Schizosaccharomyces pombe: one gene and its partners. Changing the gene in region 1 together with any one later gene gives a genetic interaction. Each region holds a gene or a part of one and is shown in the gene's direction. Other genes may lie near its edges. The genes, in order: hmo1, naa35, ssm4 and pof5.

Region 1 (4,091 bases):
TTTTTGCTCCTCATCATTCTGCGTGTAGCAAGGAATTAATGAAGCCATTAGTCGTTCAGTGAGTGGACCACACCTAACTTCCTCAGAGACGGTATCTGCCTCATTAAAAGCTTCAAGGGATCCTTGAGCAGAGGTTTGCAGGTTTTGGTAAATTGAGTTAGCACACAGGTTGGTCATTTCATCTTCCGGAGTTAAATCGTAATAGCGTTCCCCCAAAGGAGGAATATTATAGGAAGACGAAACGTCAAATCCTTTTTTTAAAAAAGCAATATCATCATCATTGAAAGCACGAAAATATGGGTCAAGTGACGAATAAAAGGTTGATATTGAAATCTGGTTATTTGGCTTGTTGTGAGAAAAATCATCAGTCGCCGGAGTTCCTGCCACCAACGATCGTACATCACTGGTTGGAAAGGAATCTACACATAAAAGCTTCTTTTTTTGTTCATAAGAGAAGGAATCGTCAACAATGAAAGATAGTAATGAACCGGTTAGAAGATCGTTTGCGTTTTTATATACCAACCCAGTTGTCTGTTCATCTTTACCCTTAACCGGTAAATCTAATTCATTCTCAATTGTTTCCACATTTTCGGGACTGATTTCTTCATTATGGGCCTCTGAAACTTTGGGCTTCTTGGAAACTTTTTCTAGCATAGACTCTTGTGGACTTTCGGAAAGAGAACGCTTTTGCTTTATTTCTTGTTCAACGTTGTCTTCTTTAAATTCTTCTACTTTTTCTTCCACTTTATTAACCGACGATTCGTCTTTTGAGGTTTCTATTTCAGAATCGACATGAGACTCTAACTCTTCTTTGCGCTGGCGAAAATATTCTACACAAGACGGTTCACACTCAATCATTTTTTGCAGCTCAAACAGAAGCCGCCATAATGTCGACACAGACGGTACAACACCAGGAGTTGACGTTTCACTCAGACGGGAAAAGGTCTCGTATTGATTTTCAATTTTAAAACATTGAGGAATCACCGCGGGTTTCGAATCAGCTTCATTTTGTTGTTCGGAGGACATCCCAAAAAAATTTAAATCGTGAACAATACAACATTTACATATGTCTCTCTCCCCCGAAAAAATTCATTACTGAGGTGGTGATTTTTTATACCGGATTTCGATGATGGCGTACTTTTAGCGAAGTCTAGTATACCACTTGTTACATTGTTATAACGGTGCTCAGAAATATTAATCAAGAACAGCGTTGAATTGCTACGAATATGATATCTCAAACCAAATTAAACAGCAATATATTTTATTCATAGTGAATCCATCGCAAAAGCAATATGCTTTGCGAAGTATTTTGAACACTATAAGTGATCTTTGGTTTGTTTAAAATTAAATTTATCTTAAATTTAATAGTTTCTAAACCAATTGGTCTAGCGCAAGAACTAGATAAACAGAGTTGCAGCTTCACAAGATATCATGAAATAGATCTACGAGTCAATGGAATAGGATTTGTTTATACTTAATTAAGAGGTAAATATTTACAAGAAAATGTTTTATCATTTTTTTTTTTTAAATTTTGGATGTTTTTATTGCTATTCTTTCCATTTATGGGACATTATTTGACTGTAAGTCTCAGCAAATTTAGTGGATTGAGATTAGAAAAAGAAAAAAAAAAAAAAAAAAAAAAAAAATTTTTCTCGGTTGTAGATTTTCTCATATTTTCCTATTATATATTTAATTTACTACAATTGTCTTTTGTAATTTTCATTATATCACTCAACAGAATCACATGAAGAAATATCTCACTGAACCATCGTAATTTCAACAATAACAATTGTCACATATATTAAATAACTATAAACTGTAATAATAATAAAATGTGAAGAAAGCTCAACCGAACTGGTGGGTTTAACTGAAGCAATTTCATCTGCTTCGCATTTCCAGCATTAACCAACCACCCACCGTCATAACCGCTAAGATTTAAATTCCCGCCATCACCCCGGTAGGTCAGCCACCATTTCCTGTATTTGCCATCGTATTGAAGCTTTAGTTGTATTAGAAACTTTGAATATTTTTTAAGTAGTACGATGGCTCAAAACTCAACCCAACTGGAAAAGGTATGTGATATTTTAAAGAGTTTTGGTGTTTTGAACCAACATAATGTTTTATGATTCAAAAAATTGATTTAAATCAAGTATTTACTAAAAATAATCTTTTTTAATTGGTTGAAAAGTTTGATGATTAAATGCAAAATTTTCTTTAGTTATCCGCTTGGTTTTTGGTTTTTATCTAACAAATTGCCGTCTTAGATTTCTGGTTCTTTCACAAGGTTGGCGGAAGCTTTTCAGTTAGCTTTAACCGCATGCCGTGAGATCGAAGAATCACTTCCTTCGATATTAGGAGAGAAGTCCGAGGTTTCGAAACCTTTTAAGCCAGCCGTCACTGATCCATCAAATGCGAAGAAAGAGATTAATATGGCAATTGAGTCTCCTTCTAAAAAAGCAACTTCACCTAAGAAAGCTACTCCTGCAGCAGTAGCTCCTGTTGAGGCAACCTCCGCAGTCGATACGTCGGAAGCTGTAGCCTCCATGACCCCAAACAAGCGCAAGGCTAGGGATCCTGCACAACCAAAGCGCCCTCCATCAGCCTATAATCTCTTTCAGAAGAACCAACGATCGGAAATCAAGGAGTCTTTGGGCGAGAAGAGTAACGATGTTAAAGAGGTGAATAAAGCGATGCATGAAAAGTGGGGCTCGCTATCTGAAGATGATCGGAAAACTTACGAAGAAGAAGCTTCTAAACTTCGAGAAGCCTACGAAGAAGAAATGGCTGCTTATAATGCTTCTAAAGAAAATGCGTCAGTTGCTGATAGTCGAGTTACGGCTGAGGAAACTTCTACTAAACCTTCAGAAGACTTATCCTCTCCCACTAAAAAAGATTTGATAGACTTTTCAGAAACCAGACCATTGGCTCAAGCTTCTAGAGCCACTCCTGACATTAAAGAACAGCATGCTAAGAAACCGAAGCGAAAGCACACCCGTTCAACAGTACCTACAAGCAATGTTGAACCAGTTTCTCAACCTCAACCCTCTCCTGACAAAATCGTTTCTAGCCCCAATCCGCCATCAGCGAAAAGGGAAAAAAAGAAACGTCGCAAAAGCTCGATGTCTTCTTCCATTACCACTCCCCCTACCGCCAAAGTTGCTAATTGAGTTTGCTTGATAATTTCATTAATTGTGTATTTCCTTGTTCCGAACATTAAAGTTATAGGAAATGATTAATTAGCAACAAGTGTTTGCTTGTATTGCTGATTTGAGTGCTCTCTATTATTACTCAGGTTGCTAATGTCTGTAAATATTGCTTGTTAAAAATACTGGTTGTTATATAATACATAATAATCGTTTTTGGTCACAGCAGTTGTATATAAACGTTTAACGGCAGGCACATAATATCTATATTGGTTGAAATCTATTATAGCCTTAGAATAAATAATTAGCTAACAGGTAATTTTTGTTTAAGTTTACATTCTTCCAATGATCTTTCTGCTGTATACAGGAATAAATTTATCTTCGCCATAAAAAGTATCTTAATGATTTTGAGAACTTTTAATTTATTGTTATGATTTCCATTAAAAAATTTTGGAGTACTATAGAATGGTGATTGTTGTATGCACATGTTTCAAATAATGGTTAACTTTCATTATTATTAGATATTTATAAATCTTGTTTATCACAGGGTGGCTAGTACACTAATAAAAACCTATACTGACTTTTCTGCACCGTGTAACGTAACTCGTTATGGTCATGATTACCGTGAAGTAGTCCTCTTGTGTTAAATTTTCGCCGACACCACCTACGACTTAATCTTTGCAACTCAGGTAGAATGAGCGGGATTCAGGTATGTTGAACGTATTTACCATTACTAATACATAGTTTTCACCTTCTTCTGTCCCCTTACGGTATGTTTCTATAAGTAGTACCGTTTACTAACAGTATTAGCCGGGTGGAGGAGGTTCAATTTGGAATCTTGTCCCCGGAGGAAATTCGTTCAATGAGCGTTGCGAAGATTGAGGTAAGTGTTTGTTTTGTTCTTATCACTTATCGTTTTTAGTTTCCTGAGACCATGGATGAAAGTGG
Region 2 (7,515 bases), 2.5 Mb from region 1:
TTGTGTCTTTCTGTCGTGTTTACTTAATAATCCAACGTTTATCTATCTGTCTTTTTACATTTTTTATTGTTTTTTAAAGCAATTAATCAAGGATGAACTTTTATTCCTTGTTGCCATCTAGACATGATGTTAGCGCGGATAATATTACTGAAAAGTTCTGCCAATTCTGTCTTTGCTGCAATCCCTGGTATGCAGGTGCTGACACGAGGCAATTAGCAAATGCATTCAATATGATTCCTAAATCAGAGGGTCAAAAATTTGAGATTTGGGTCTTATTTCTCCTTGTCCGGCAATACCACCAAAAAATAATTAACTCTTGGTCCAAGCTGGTGGGTTTTCTTGGTGTGGAACGAAAAGATGAACAATCTACTCAAAAAATACAACAGTATGTTGTTCGTTTAAAACGGTGGATGAGTCAAACACATGTTGATGCTTTTTTCGATTATCTCCTGAATAAACCAAATCCTTATTATCTCGAAATTCCTGAAACCCAACCTCAAGTTCGATGCAATGTAAATGTAACTGATGATTTGGTTATTAAATCTTTACGTGCAGGCTTAATGTCTCATCCAGATGTTAACTCTTCCTCCATCTCCACAATGCGCACGTCAACCTCCCCTTCTAACTGGATTCATTCAGCTAGTGCTAGTTTAGACGACAACACTCACAATCTTGGTAGCTTTGTCACAAACCCTCATGCAGATTCCCAAGAATGCCCTACCCCTCAATCCCTTTTAATGAGAGCGTCCCATCACATGTCTGAACGAGGTTCTCAACAAGCACATCAGACAACTCCTCAAAACCATTCTCTCCCACATCCTCCAAATATGTTTGAACCACCTGACGAAGACCATCAGTTACCTTCCGCAGCCAACAATTCACATAACCATGATCACGCTTTTCAAACTGCTGAAGCAGTTGGCGTTGCTGATTCCATTGATCCTGACTGGCATCAATGGCCTGATGATTTACGAGACGTTTCTTCACCCAAAGAAAGTGACGGGTTGAATGATTCTTGGTCTCGACAAACCAATCAAGTAGAAACGGAAAATGTTGAAAATGAAGCAGGAGTCCCTCGTAAACGCGGGCGTCCGCCAGGAGCTCGTAACAAAATTAAACGGCTGAGATCTGAACCATCTGTGTCATTAACGCTAAGTATCTCTTGGTATGAAAGATTTGAAAAGTTGATGCATGCTCAAAATACAATGCTTCGCTCTGCATTTTCACATGTTGCTCGTCTGCCCATGGAAACGGTTTCTCAACTTTTATCACACTATACTGAAACGATATCCCAATATCTTCCTCCCTCCGAAACTTCGCCGATCCCCAAAACTCCCAATTTTAAGTTCATCTCAAGTACTCTTTTAGCCCTGGTCTCTTCTCATTCCGAAATCCTTGAAGCCAGTACCGATCGCTTAATTTGGACCGTTCATCAAGGACCATTAACAGCTACTATATGTCATGCATTCAATTTGGAAAAAGCGCCGAGTATGCACTCATTAGCAGAAGCTCAGATGATTCCCGATGTCCCTATATCTCATTCAAATTCAATGGAGCCTTTAGACACTGTTTCCTCATTAAAATTAGAAATTGCCAAACTGAATGCGGCCCTAAAAGAAAAAAATTTAGAACTCGAAAATTTAAAGAGAAAGATTATGAATGCAGTGTTTGACTGAAATCACGATTCTTCCATGCATGTATCTATTTATGCAGTACACTTTGCGACTGCACGTTCCACGAACTGGTGCAATTTCAAAGTTACAAAATTCTCATGTTCAAAAAAGCATAATTGTTTAAAGTATTTATTTTGTTTTCCTTCTCTTTATTTTATAAAAAGTTTTTAGATATTCTACTGCTAGGTGAGATGGGTTACCATCGAGATAGTTTTTTACCTTTGCAGATACAAGTAAAATAATTTCAAATTGGATTTATCATTGTTTTTATTATTATTGAAAAAATTACCATCTTATTTACTCTCGAAAATGTTATTGAACAAGCATTTTTATGCGTGGAATTTTTGTTGTGACTTACAGAGTAACACTTTTCATTAACCCATAAACTAGACGTTCAATAGAAAATTGGTCAATATAGGGGTGTTTTGTCGATTTTATGTCTGTTAAAGAGTCCCTATCATTGCTTAATTCTATGCAAGGAAATGTGAAGATTGGAAATGTGGAACCGGCCAAAGGGAACGAAGGTTATGTTGATAACGCTGGATATGTCGACTGTACAAAGTCTTACTTTGAAGCCACGAAATCTCTGAAAGAGGAACAGCTAGTATGTGATCCAAAATTTACATTATTGGATTCAATCAGTGCCTTTGAAATTATGGAACCGAAAATGGATAGTGGGATTGATTATCAGCCACTTCGTGTAGATTTTTCACGTGATCTCTCTTACTTGGAAATATTAGCGTTAATGGATTTAATTGTCTCTGCGGAAAAAGAGTGGCATTATGGATCCCCCTTATCAGAGAGCTTACTCTGTAGTGCCCATGTGTTCTCCATTTGCAAGTCGCCTATTTCACAAGTGGGTGACAGTGGCTTCTCCAGTGGTAGCGGAAGGAATACAACTGACATCGTTCTTTTCCCTTTTGTTTTGGCTGTTATTAAATGTTGCGATATTGTTCATCGAGAATTTCTGATGGGAAATTTATATGACGAGGAAGACATTAGTTCGTTTTCATATCACATGTCCTTTCTTCAAAATTACCCCATAGAAAAACTCAATTATCTTTTGCAATCTAGCATCGAATATTTGGCTTCCGAGGTTATAAAATTTTCTGCCGAGTTACGACAAATTATCGAGGGAATTCTCAATAGAATACAACTTCGAATTGGTATTTTACGAGTGTATGAAAGGAGTGATATTAAGACCACCATCGATGCTCTCCATCTGATCAAAAATTTGGTACCCGAGATTCAGAACACGGTTTCGGTAGTTGATTCATCTATCAAGGAGAGCATATTAAAGCAATATTGGGATTTTCGCGTCCAAGCCCAATTAGTTGCTACAGCTCCTGTGAGGAATATTCCTCCTACTGGCATTGAGCATTCTTATCAACGAATTTTGTATTTTGCTGATGATATGCTTTTGATTTTGAATAGCCACACTCTCGCTTCTTCCTTGGCAGTATATCAGTTTTGTTTAGATTTTACGAGATTGAATCGTACTCCAGAGCCTTACGTCCGTTCCTCCCTTCAAGCACTTATCACTGCTAACAATGCAGTTAATCTAAGGGATCAACCTACTTCGTATATGTTAGAATGTATTCGTGAGTTTTCTGGGCTTCCTTCAAATTTTTATAATCCTAACACCCGTACAGTAATCGAAAAAAACTCTATCTCATCAGCCTATGGTCCGCTAGTTGAGTCTTTGATTGCTCATTCAACTAATATCATGGTTGACCTTGTCCGAATTTGTTCCCACAATCCCTGTCGGTTCCGCCGTAATCTAATAAATTTACTTCCTGAAATTACCGTTGCTCATTTTGAAGCTGAAGCGCTTGATTTGAAATTCGTAGCAAAAAGCCTACCAAGTAATGGACCGTTTTCATCATTTATTTACCATGTTAAGCTAAATGCAATTGAGCATATCTTGCTTTCTTCCTTTGAACAAAAACTTCACCAACCATATCAATGGCCCCATTTTTTTGCTGTGCTTGATCATGTCTTTTCTATCCACCAGACTCATTTAGAGCTTCATGGAAAGGATCGTAATACCCCACCTATGGCCAAAACCTTTGTTACATATTTGCATCGAATATTGAATGCTATAAAGGAGACCTATTCTGGCTATTTACTAGTATGTATAAAGCTTATCGCTTCTTTTTTATTCTAACGATTTTAGCTGACGGTGCTTTGTATGCGGTTGAATATCATTAAAACTCCTTCATTTACTCTTGATGAAAAAATTCAAGAGTCATATTACATGGCCCATTATCGTCCTTTAATTAATTTGCGTCAACCCAAGCCACTACTTCGTTCGGAAGCTGATTGCATAATCAAAAATCTTCAAAATTTCTCTACGGATGATTTAATCATCAAATCTAATGAAAAATTCACTGCTGCAAAGAATAGCCTTATTAATGTTATAAAATCCGGTTTTGAACAGAATGAGTTCATCAACCCGTATTTCTTGCAAACCAACTATTTAAAAAATTTATTATGTTGCTGCATTACAAATCTGGTTTCACTTGCAATCTTATCCAAAGATCATAGTGCTAATCTAAAAATAGTGGAAATACCTGGAAATCCGCTCCCAAGTCTTTCACGTACATGAGGTGTTGTTCGTCTTTTATGTTAATAAATCAAAATTATCAAAAGTTAGGTTTTCAATATTTTTTTAATCATTCAATCTAATTATTGCTGACTATTTTAAAAACATTTTCCTAAAATCATCGTTGCTTTTAGGTGCATCTATCTGCATTTCTTTATCGTCTAAATCGTCCTTCTTAGAATTTATATTGGAATGATTGGAATTGAAACCTTGAAACGTTCGGCTTCCGAGTCGCCGTGGGCGTGTAGCAGAGGTATTGTAATCGGAATGATTCATACTAGATGGGACATTGTGCATCATTTCATTGACAGTGGTAATGTGTAGTAACCTGCCACCAATTTCATGTCCTTCTAATGCCAAGGATGCCTTTCCCGCATCATGAATATCCAAAAACTCTACTACAGCACCTTCATGTTCAGGATGAAGAACAACTCTATACAACTTTCCGTAGCTTTCGAATAAACTTCTAAGTCTAGCCTCGTTAACAGTCCCGTCGACATTAGTGACTCCTAGGCTTTTGCTTTTGATTTGTTCGAATGATTTTTTTGGCGTTGACATTTTATTTGACTCAGTAGTCTCAAAGCTTTTAGCTAAGGTTCGGTTGTCATTGGATGATACCCTTGTTTTCTCTAGAGATTCTCGAGGCTTCGACAAAACAACGTTCAAAACTCTATTTCCCAATTGCTTTCCAGCAGCAGAAAGTGCATTTTCAGCATCTTGATTTGTAGTCATTACCACATATCCAAAACCTTTATGTTGATTAAATCTTTTCGGTATTCGAACACTCTCAACCTGCCCATAATCCCTAAAAAATGTTTCTACGTCTTTTTCATTTACTTTAAAATCAATATTTGTAACGTAGAGTTCTCTACCCTCATAGACAGCACCGCTTCTAGGAGTTCGCCGAAGCGGGTCTGATATAAAGACTTGAATAGGATACTTCTCTTCCAATAGCTTCTTATGTAACTGCAGGGCATTGTGTGCCTCATCGGGCTTTCTCATTTGTACATAACAAAAACGCCTGTTCGTGTTATACCTTAGACTAGGAAAACGGACGTCAACCACATTACCATATGCAGAAAATAATTTGGTTATATCTAATTCATCATAAGTCGGAGGAAAATTGGTAACGTAGAGGTTCGTGTCTACATGAATTTGAACAGAAATTTCATGACCCCTTATCGATTTAAGGTCTCTTGTTTTAGCAGCAAGAACTTCACTGGTTTCAGAAAATTCAATCTGAGCCACTTTAACATCCTTTTGATTGTCTTCGAGGATAAAAATGCGTATAATATTACCACAATCTTTGAAAAAAATTTTCAACTCATTTTCGCTTATATCGGAAGGTAGATTGGTAACCAAAACTGTAAGTTCTTCCCTATTCCTGTGTTGCTCAATAGGTTTCGACTTTTTGAACACATCACCTTCTTGCCCAGGTTTTCTTTTCTTTGAAAGGGCGGCTGTATCATCAGCTTGAGGCACTTTTAGTGGTTCGGTGTTTTCGACAGTCTGCTTCGTTTCTTCAGCAAAAGAATCCAATTGACGTTTGAAGCTAATCCTCTGTGCATTTAAAACGTCATATAAATGTGATGTGTTTGTGAAACAGTCATTATTAAGGTCCATAATGGATTGATAAAATTGGAACAGAAGTTGAGGCTGATCAACGTTTTTGTAAAGGCTTTTTTTTAACGTCTCAGCCGCAAGCTCTGGGTTATACTTCATCGTACTTATGTATCGAGAAATCCAATATAATGCCTGATTTTGAAAATCATGAAACATATCAGACCAGCACTTTTCTACGCTTTCAAAATCAGAGATTTCTGAATATAAATAAATTTTTGAAAGTTCAATGCGCATTCTTGCATCCTTTGATCCCTTATGATTTTTTCGCAAATAGTCTTCGACTTTATGAATTTGATGTTTCAAAAATTCCTGTGGCTTATCTTCATTAGAAGACAAATATAGGCATGCTTTTAAAAATCCGCTAAAAAAATCAATAACCTCGTCAAAATTTACGAGCAAATTTGAATTCAAACATCGATCTTTCTCTTCACAGACAGCCGATGTGGATGCTCCAGAAAGCGTCATATAAGTCAGTTTAATGGACCAAATACGCCCAATCCATGAACAGTTACGAGTAGCTCGTTCTGCTACACTGGACGCTTGAGAAGAAGAAAAATCCACTTTACTAAGCCAGGCAGTGTATTGCAACCAGAGTTCCGGAATGAGGGGATACAAAACTATGGCACGCTCATAGAGAGTTGTTATATATTGTAACTCAGCTGTTGAGCGTCGCGATTCATCATTAATTAAATCCATATACGCTTCGAGAGAATGATTTGCGCTGTTTAACAATAGTTCTTTATTAAAAATTTTTGCATTTCTTTTAAGTGTAGTCTCATACACTTTATTGCTTTTCACCATAACATCCTCATATTCGGAAGGAGACCAGTTATTTGTGACAAACGTTGATAAAGAAGTAAACGTTTCTTCAATCTGCTCATGTGGAAGTTTTAATCTATCAATATGAAAATCATATATCTTGTTTTTAAAAACAATTTCTTGCTCTTCTTCTCCCTCAAATAGAGCATCACCGAACGTCTGTAAAAATTCCAAATATAACGTCCAAACACATTGACTCTGTAAACATTGATTAGTAAATACATTTTTATCATGAAGAAAATTTTTAGTTCCTTACTTTAGAAAAATGAAATTTGCAAGTTTGGTATGCACGTTCAAAAAGAGAATGGGCATCTGTCAAAGTAATAACGCCGTTTAATTCAGACTGTTCTTGTTCAAAAGAAGAAGTGTCCATTAAGTTTAGCGTAAATTCAAGATACATACACCAAATTTTGATTGACAGATAATCTTGAACTGCCAAATCAAACAATGTTTTTATCCTCACATAGTCGTCTAAAGTCCTACAGTTTTTGCACTCATCTAAAAGGTAATCTACCCACAAATCTAAAAACCATTAATAAATGCTTGTCAAAAGATTAACAAAGTTAAAGTAATTAGTGAATAATTTTTGCGAGTCTATGGAATTCGCCTCAACACGCTTTACCTAGACGATTGTTGATTGACATACCTTCTGAAAGTGGAAAGATCGATTGAAAAGTCTTTCTAGCCTCTGACAACTCCTTCTTTTTATCTAGACGCTTTAACTCTTCAATGAGTTTAATATGACTATCATAATTATAGGGATGTAAAATCGTAAATTTGGTCAATTCATCCAGA
Region 3 (4,616 bases), on another chromosome or scaffold:
GATGCCAATCCTGAATTAAGCTTGCTCTTGGATTACAATCTTGCACGTTGTGAAGAAGAATTGGGTAACACTTCTGTAGCTAGTGAAGCGTATGTTTCGATTCTCGAAAAACATCCATCTTTTATTGATGCCCGTATTCGCAAATGTTTACTTCAGTTATCCAATCCTAACGAGGAAACGTTTAAAGAAATTCGTCATATCATGAACGCAGATTCTCAAAATTTAGAGGTTCGAGCATTTTTTGGTTGGTATTTGAGTAAACAAAAGCGTCGCCCAGTAGAAGATCCTGAAGTTAGACACTGCTCTCAGACCCTTAGACATTGGCACGATGACATTTACTCCCTAGTTCAACTCGGTAATGCCTATATGAGACAGGCAAGAGAGTTTCGTGTACATAATGATCGTGAAAAGTTAAAAAGGCAAAAACTTTACATCAAAGCTATTCAGTCTTATGATCAAGCTATTAAATTTGATCCAAAAAACGCACACGCTGCCCAGGGTATTGCCATTATATTAGCACAAAACAGGCAATTTTCTAAAGCTCTACTTATTTTGAGTAAGGTTCGTGAAGCAATTAAGGATGCTACAACACTCATAAACATTGGCAATTGCCTTGCAGAACTCAAACAGTTCAGTCGTGCTATTGAGGTATTTGAAACCGTGTATTCTAGTACCGGAGAAAGTGATACTTATGGTGTATTGAGCTGTTTAGGCCGAGTTTGGCTACAGCGTGGTCGCGAAAGCAAAAACGTCGACTATTTAAAAGAATCCGTGCGATATGCTACATTAGCTTTAGAAAAAAATCCCGAGAATCCAAGCCTTTTATTTAACGTTGCCTTTGTACAATTCCAGCTATGTGAGCTCATCCGTCAGAAACCCGAGAACAGTAGAACTGTTGAGGATCTGAACTTTGCAATGCAACAGCTTGACGCATCGATTGAAACTTTTACCAAACTGGTGTCTGTCGAACATCCACCCTATTCTCCTACCAGTATTGAACAACGTGCAAAGATGGCTAAAAATACTACTAAGCGTCAATTGGAGCGCGCTATTCAAGCGCAAATCGAATATGAGAAGAGTGTTGCTGCCAAACTTGAAGATGCTAGGATTCAAAGGGAAAAGGAGAAGGCTCGAAGATTGGCAGAGGAAGAAGCTTTACTTAAGGAAAAGCAAGAACGTGAGAGGCAACTTCAGGAAGAGCGACAAAAGATGCAAGAAGAAGTTTTGGAGTGGAGAAAGAGTCAGCAGAAGGCTTCTGAAGATGATATGAGCTTGTCTGATGACGAAGAAAAACAGTCAGGCAAGAAGAAAAAGAAAGATCGAAAAAAGCGTAAATCTAAATCGAAACAGGAATCCTCGGATAGCGGAGTAAGCGAAGATGATGAAATACCATTGAGCGATGCCAGAAATAAAACTAAAAAACGTCGTGTTAATAGAAGAGTCATATCCGAAGAGTATACTTTTGACCAGGATAGTGACGCGGAGGGAAATCAAGAAGAGGAGGTTTCTCGTACTATCGAAGAAAAGCAGGATAACGATATCACAGACAATCAAGATGACAATAAAGAGTTAAATCTATTCTCTGAAGAGGATGAAGAATAATAATTATGCTCATTGCTGTTTGAATTATGCCGTTCAGATAAGAATTTTCTTATTTCAATGGCATATTAACTTTCTCCCTTCAGTTATTTGTTGTCTGTCATATATATGATTTATGATCTCGTGTAATAATATCATTTAAATTAATTTTTTGTATACAAAAGCTCTTGTCATTCATTTACGCTTTTTAGACTAGATTTGTTTTTTTCTATCCACCCTTTCAAAAAGAACTAATAGGTTTATTCACCCAAGAATCGTTTCATTCTACTTAAATAACATTAACATGCGTGTTAAAAGTGATTTGAACATTGGTGATTAACATGCTCAACTGTGCAACATAGTGATGATTTTAGCGCGCCTGTATTGCAAACATTGTTCCCCCCTCCCCACACTAATCTCACAGTTTCTAACCATTTTATCAAGTACTTTCTGAGCCTTTCTTTTTTTTCAAATGAGTTATTTGTCCGTCGGGGATGAAGTCCTCATCCGTGGAGAATTAGGAATAGTTCGATTTGCCGGTAGTACTGATTTTGAAAGTGGTATTTGGTTAGGCGTAGAATTGTTAAATGGAAAAGGAAAAAATGATGGAAGCGTAAAAGGGAAACGATATTTTTCATGTGAGAAAGGAAAAGGGATATTTGTACGCGCATGCTCTTCGAATGTGATGAAAAGACCAAGTGTCGTCAAGTCAAGGAAAAAAGGATCAGAAAACATATCAAATTTTATGGAAAAAACTAAAGCAATTAAACAAAAATCACGTAGGGAGCCCTCAAAATTTGAAAGATCATTGGCACGCCCATTGTGCATTACACCTATTGATTCGTCTACTCCCACAAAGACAGCTACGTTTTATACTTCATCTACAACTGAAAATCTAGATGAGCTAAATTTTTCAACAGAAGAATTATCAAGTTTTGACACTACTTTGTTAAACTCAGATACGAGCAAATTGTCTGGGCTTGACGATAGTAGTTTTATGGAAGAGGAATTTGTATGGCAAGTTGACAACGTTTTGCAGGAATGTGAAAAAAAATTTACTCCTCATTCAAAGGGAAGTTATTTAAAAGAGAATTTAAAGTCAGAATTAAGGAAGGGTCGTTTGGATGAATTGATGTGTGAAAATACCGCCTTAAAAGAAAAAATTGATAAATTAAATAAGGAATTAGAGAAAGTTGAACCTCAGTTGACATTCCTTCGCAGTAAAAACAGTATTGAAAAACCTCGGAATTTTAGGCGTGAAAAGTTTCTCAAAAAATTCTTGGCTATGCAGAAAGAAATAAAGTATCTAAGAAAGCGAAAGTTGCAAATTCGAAAGATTCCTAATTATAAGTACTCTGATCGAAGTTTGAATTCCAAAACTCCTAAAAGCCAGGACAACTGGACTACACAAGTTACACCATCTAGTCTCCTTGGGGTCTCAGAGGTTTCTAAGGTTTTGCAATTAAAACAGGTTCAGGTCGACATAACTGAGCTTGTAAAAATTCCTAAAAACCCGTTTTCTGAGAAATTGACAATATCTAACGTGAATAGATACTTAAATATTGTACCGGGAAGTTTGGATTTACAATTTTCATTAACAAATGAAAATTTTGTACATTGGAATAGCACAGTTTATCAAGAATTATTAAACTTAAAGTCCAACAACTCTTCAGTGGATGGTGTGAAGACAAGAAGGCAACTGTTGGAGGAAAATGCTTTGTTGTCTCATAAAGTATTAAAACTAACAGAAGAAATTCAAGACTTGGAAACTTTGAATCAGCTAAACACTGAAATAGAAGCAAGACAATCGGAAAAGTTAAATGAGGTGCAAGAGGAAACTCAAAGGCTATCTCAGTTACTAATATCTTCTCAACCTGCTTTGACAGAAGTTAAACATTTGAAACTATGCTTATCAGACTCTCAAGAGGAATTATTGCAATTAAATGCAAAACTTGAGAAAGCAAATATTGTAATAGACGAGTTAAACAGTGCAAAATTGAAACTATCAAAACAAGTGGAGGAGGAAAGTAGTATGAAAGACGACCTTACAGAAATGAACCAACGTTTAAAAGAACAAATTGAATCATACGAGAATGAAGTTAACTCTGAAATCACTTCTAGAACATTGAAAGAATTTGAAACATTAAAGACACAGTATGAGAAAAATCTTTGTAATTTAAGAGAACAGCTAAAGACCGCAAGGATGAAACTGGCCGATAAATATCCACAAGGTGACAATACTAGTGAAAATATAGACTGGCTCAAACACAGTTTACGGGATTCTAATACTGAAAACTCAATTCCAAGCCCATTGACCTTTGCCTGCAAGGAGATAAGAAAATTAGTTGCAGATATTAAACCCGTTTCAGTAGAAAAGCAGCTGGCCTTGAATTGGAAAAAAGATATCGAGCGACCCAGTTTTCATCACAATCAACAGCTATTTAATTATTGTCAGTTAACAGACATTCTTTCCAAAAAATGCTAATCTTTTAATGAGATATATAATTCAATTTATTAATAGCCGCCGAAAATTAGCTTCTAATCTTAACTGCCATATTTTAACGAATTTATCATTAATGTACTGTATGGTGTTGCTTTAAGTTTAAGATCGACTTGTAACCTCTTTTGTGACCTGTTATGCATTAACGAAATATGGGGTTGAGTATTTGATTGGTTCATGTTTGTATTAAACTAACGTACTTTTGGCCAATTAGATCGACTTTGAAGATTAATTGTCGACGTGAGAATCATGTAAATAAACAAGTTTACTTACCCTAAACCAACCACTTTAAGAGTGGGAAACTGCTTGTTTCACATTGCACGGTAGCGATATTATTTTTTTTTGTTACCTTTTTTCTATTAAAGCGTATCAAGCGTTTCTTCACCTTCTTGCAGAGAAAGGGTTAGAAAATGGAAATCGACCAAAACCTTTTCCAGTTTCCCATTTCGACTCGTGATGCTGTTCACGAGAAAAATTGTACTTTAAGAGTTAAATCTACAAAAAAAAGAAGAAGCTCTACGAAAGATGAAGAAACGCG
Region 4 (3,874 bases), on another chromosome or scaffold:
TCTCAAAGAAAACGCCCCAAGATCTCATTCGATTCTGTGGCTGAATTGGCTAAAGAGTCTGACGAAAAACAGAACGCTTACGAAGAGAAAATTGAAGAGCGTATATTGGCTAATCCCGATGAGTCTGATGATGTTATGCTTGCTGCTCGTGATGCGATTTTTAGCAAAGGACAATCTAAACGTATTTGGAATGAGCTTTACAAAGTTATTGATTCTAGCGATGTTTTAATCCAAGTGCTTGATGCGCGTGATCCTGTAGGTACTCGTTGTGGAACCGTAGAGCGCTATTTAAGGAACGAAGCTTCTCATAAGCATATGATTTTGGTTTTGAACAAAGTTGATCTTGTTCCTACCTCTGTTGCTGTAAGTCATTTTTGTTTTTAAAATCTATTTGCATTGTTTTTGATACATGGAAAGATCAAGCTATATGCATCTGTTATGCATTAGTTCTATTTAATTGCTGGAATAGTATTCAGTATGCCCATTGTTAAGTCAAGACTCTTTTGTATGCTTTTCAGCATATTTCCCGTCAATTGAAGTCTGTTACAACTCTGGGAGAGTATACAAACTGTCTCTAAATTATATAGCCGTTCTGGCTATATCAGAGATAGTTGTATTGTCTTTGCTTTAATTTCGGTGTTTCAAGCAGTATATCGCTGCATATAGTTGTCACACTTACAAATGTAAAGACTTACATTGTTTTCATGTATCAACGAACAACCAGATATATCTTTATTAACCAATGTTCTTTTTTCTAACTTTTTTAGGCCGCCTGGGTTAAAATATTGGCTAAAGAGTACCCAACCATTGCTTTCCATGCATCTATAAATAATTCCTTTGGTAAAGGGTCCCTTATTCAGATTCTTCGTCAATTTGCGTCTTTACATTCTGACAAAAAACAAATTTCTGTTGGGTTAATTGGTTTTCCGAATGCCGGAAAATCAAGCATCATCAATACTTTAAGGAAGAAAAAAGTTTGTAATGTTGCTCCCATTCCTGGAGAAACGAAAGTTTGGCAATATGTTGCACTCATGAAACGAATTTTTTTAATCGACTGTCCTGGTATAGTCCCACCCAGTTCCAACGACTCTGATGCAGAGCTTTTATTGAAAGGTGTAGTCCGAGTTGAAAACGTGAGTAATCCAGAAGCATATATTCCTACTGTACTCAGTCGTTGTAAAGTGAAGCATCTTGAGAGAACATATGAAATATCTGGTTGGAATGATTCGACTGAATTTCTTGCTAAACTTGCGAAGAAGGGAGGCCGTTTGCTCAAAGGAGGTGAACCTGATGAAGCTTCGGTTGCTAAAATGGTATTGAATGATTTTATGCGCGGTAAAATCCCTTGGTTTATTGGACCTAAAGGCCTTTCCTCATCAAACGATGAAATCAATTCTTCGCAAAAAGTCGCTACTCAGCAAACTGAAGGTTCTGATCAGGATGGAGAAGAAGCAGAAGAAGAATGGCATGGAATTTCTGATGATGGTAAAGCTGATGAGTCTGAAAGTACTAAACCAGTAGCCGAGGGAAGTGCTTCTGAGTCTACAGATGAAAGTGCTGTTGATGATAATAAGAATAGGAGTTAATTGGGGGGTTTGGTTTAATTTATCATTTTTATGGTTGGTCTTTGTATATTAATAATAATATTGGTTTACTAAATATAATGTGATATGTATAAGAGTTGCTATTGTTCTATAGAATTCTACCTGATGTATTGTAAACGGTTTGTTAGATACAATACTTTTGCAAATTGTTCATCAATATCTTGCGTCAAATCTTTTTTTTTAATTTAAGCGTGGTACTGATTCTGCTTGTTCTTCTCACATGAAGTGTTACCATTTACCACCATTTTATGTATCGAGCAATGCAAATTACTAGTCATATAAGGTTATTTGGCAGTTACCGTTTAAATTATTTGTAAGTTTAGATATTTAAAAAAAAAAAAATTGTTTGAAGATACCAAGTTATCACTCAATTATTTGGCGTCGAAGACTGAGGTTTTGCTACTGCCTAACACCATTGTCAGTACATTAGGACAAGGTTATTGCCAAAATTTTAATCGAAAGCTTATACACTTAAATTAACTTTTGGGAGTAATGATATCTAGTTTGGCCTTACCGAAAGATGCAGTCGTTTCCTCCTGAAATATGGCATCACATATTCGATCATTTAATAAGTTTTGACAAGTTTGAAGCAAAAAATTTTGGGGGCTTGCTAAGGATTTGTCGTTCATCATATGTTGGAGGCCTACATGCTATTTATTATTTTCCAAAGCTTAATCCCCGTAATTATCATAAGTTTGTTGACACGATTAGCCGTAAACCTACAAGAAAATTAGTGCATCACATTAGTTTAAACAATGTTTCATATGCATCAAAAGCTTCTATAACATCCCGTCTATTGAGAAGGTGCGCTACGAATTTAGAAACATTTTCAGGTCCGCAGTCAGGACTTGGTTTTACGGCCTTAAGAGCATTCTCTCAATGCCAAAAATTAAAAAAGATAGACCTGTCTATCCTTTCTGAAAAAATTGATTTACAATATCTATTTGGGGGTATTCAGCATCTCAAGCATCTTGAGTATATCATATTACCCTATCTTTCAATTCCTGCTCCTATGTGTACTGAATGCTGGCCAAGCTCTCTTACCTTTGTGGGCTTTTCTGGTGGCCTTACTGATGACTTTTTGGCTGAGTCTGTTTTTCCCCCATCTTTAAAAAGTATAAACATCACACAATGTCCGCTATTGACCGATGCAGGCATTTTCTCTTTGCTTTCAAAAATAGGACCTAATTTGTCTTCAGTCTGTGTGCAATACCCAATGCCCGAATTGTCTCGGAGCGGCTTAGATTGCATTTTTCAGTTATGTCCCAACGCTACAACTATTAGCATTCCTGCTAATTACATTACCTCTACCGCCTTTGAGAGCATTCCTGAGTCAGGGCATAATGTTCGAAGCTTAGAAATTACTTATTCAGGGAGCTTATTGACCAACATCAGCCTGATCAAAGCTGATGATCTGGTGGGCGCTTTGGTCGATGGGAAGCTTCCCAATTTGCATCGATTACAATGGTCTATTCGTTTAGGATGGAGAGAGGAATCTCAGGATGTACAGGACTTATTAGAGCTAATTGATGATCAAGATGGTGAGGTATTTATAACAGTGAAATGAAGTTCATGATGTTAATGTTTTTGTTTTAAGTTGATGTTACGAGAGAAAATATTAATAAAATTACTTTCAAAAGTCTCTAGCAGACATATTCATTAATTTTAGAAATTGTTTTCATTAGGATTTTTGCTTTTTATATTTATATAATTTTTTCATCTTAAAACTACTAGTATTCATTTTATGATATTTTTTGGTAAACTTTCTATGTTGTTTGGGTTTGATTATAAAAGCCATACAGCCCATTTATCCTTTAAATGAATCCCGATCTAAATAATCATCTATACGGTCAGCTATGCGATTGATATCTTCTGTCGCTCCGCCAAATTGGAAATCGCTTTCAGCAGTTCCAAATCCTGCTTCGATGTCAAATGAAGTTCGGTCGTTATTTGAATGTAAAGAATGAGATCCACGAAGAAGGACTTCTTTGAGAGAAGGTGATCTTCGAGGTTCATTATCAGTTGGTACCTTCAAATGATCTTCCACGCTATGGTTATCATCACCTTCACCCGAAGCGATTGTCGGTACAGTCGATTCAACGATGGAGAAACTGCGATCACTAACTGAAGGTGTTCTAGTTGACATTAAAAGTTGCTCTGGATCAGCATTATGTTGGCGAAGGACTTCTTGAATGGGTGTTTCGGGTAAAATCTCAGAAACTTCACTCAAAAGTATGAAAGGATTTTCTAAAGCTTTCTTCTTTTCTTCC

What was found.
Region 2: mutations in hmo1 (region 1) and naa35 impair growth when combined (synthetic growth defect), as found in Schizosaccharomyces pombe (one large-scale study listed by BioGRID).
Region 3: mutations in hmo1 (region 1) and ssm4 impair growth when combined (synthetic growth defect), as found in Schizosaccharomyces pombe (one large-scale study listed by BioGRID).
Region 4: mutations in hmo1 (region 1) and pof5 impair growth when combined (synthetic growth defect), as found in Schizosaccharomyces pombe (one large-scale study listed by BioGRID).

What each region holds. Positions count from the first base shown.
Region 1 is NC_003423.3:1,587,317-1,591,407, forward strand, and holds hmo1 (upstream binding transcription factor, RNA polymerase I specific, Hmo1), read left to right. Parts: upstream 1-1,968; 5' UTR 1,969-2,042; coding exon 2,043-2,072; intron 2,073-2,213; exon of another isoform or gene 2,214-2,264; coding exon 2,265-3,167; 3' UTR 3,168-3,591; downstream 3,592-4,091. Other genes in the region: ngg1 (SAGA complex subunit Ngg1/Ada3), read right to left, coding at 1-1,026; DNA-directed RNA polymerase II complex large subunit Rpb1, read left to right, coding at 3,838-3,852, 3,888-3,913, 3,954-4,026, 4,066-4,091.
Region 2 is NC_003423.3:4,131,610-4,139,124, forward strand, and holds naa35 (NatC N-acetyltransferase complex subunit Mak10), read left to right. Parts: upstream 1-2,049; 5' UTR 2,050-2,109; coding exon 2,110-3,804; intron 3,805-3,849; coding exon 3,850-4,281; 3' UTR 4,282-4,371; coding exon of another isoform or gene 4,372-6,918; 3' UTR 6,919-6,976; downstream 6,977-7,515. Other genes in the region: ARS-binding protein Abp2, read left to right, coding at 93-1,676; RNA-binding protein Prp24, read right to left, coding at 4,372-6,918, 6,977-7,242, 7,367-7,515. UniProt on the Schizosaccharomyces pombe protein: Component of the NatC N-terminal acetyltransferase.
Region 3 is NC_003424.3:4,534,121-4,538,736, reverse strand, and holds ssm4 (dynactin microtubule-binding subunit, p150-Glued Ssm4), read left to right. Parts: upstream 1-2,000; 5' UTR 2,001-2,050; coding exon 2,051-4,063; downstream 4,064-4,616. Other genes in the region: RNA polymerase II-associated Paf1 complex subunit Tpr1, read left to right, coding at 1-1,602; thioredoxin family protein But1, read left to right, coding at 4,489-4,616. UniProt on the Schizosaccharomyces pombe protein: Binds to nuclear microtubules with the effect of either modifying their structure or function. This then promotes meiotic nuclear division.
Region 4 is NC_003424.3:2,731,821-2,735,694, reverse strand, and holds pof5 (F-box protein Pof5), read left to right. Parts: upstream 1-1,834; 5' UTR 1,835-2,124; coding exon 2,125-3,171; 3' UTR 3,172-3,322; downstream 3,323-3,874. Other genes in the region: nog2 (ribosome export GTPase), read left to right, coding at 1-363, 768-1,586; plasma membrane calcium ion import channel Cch1, read right to left, coding at 3,412-3,874.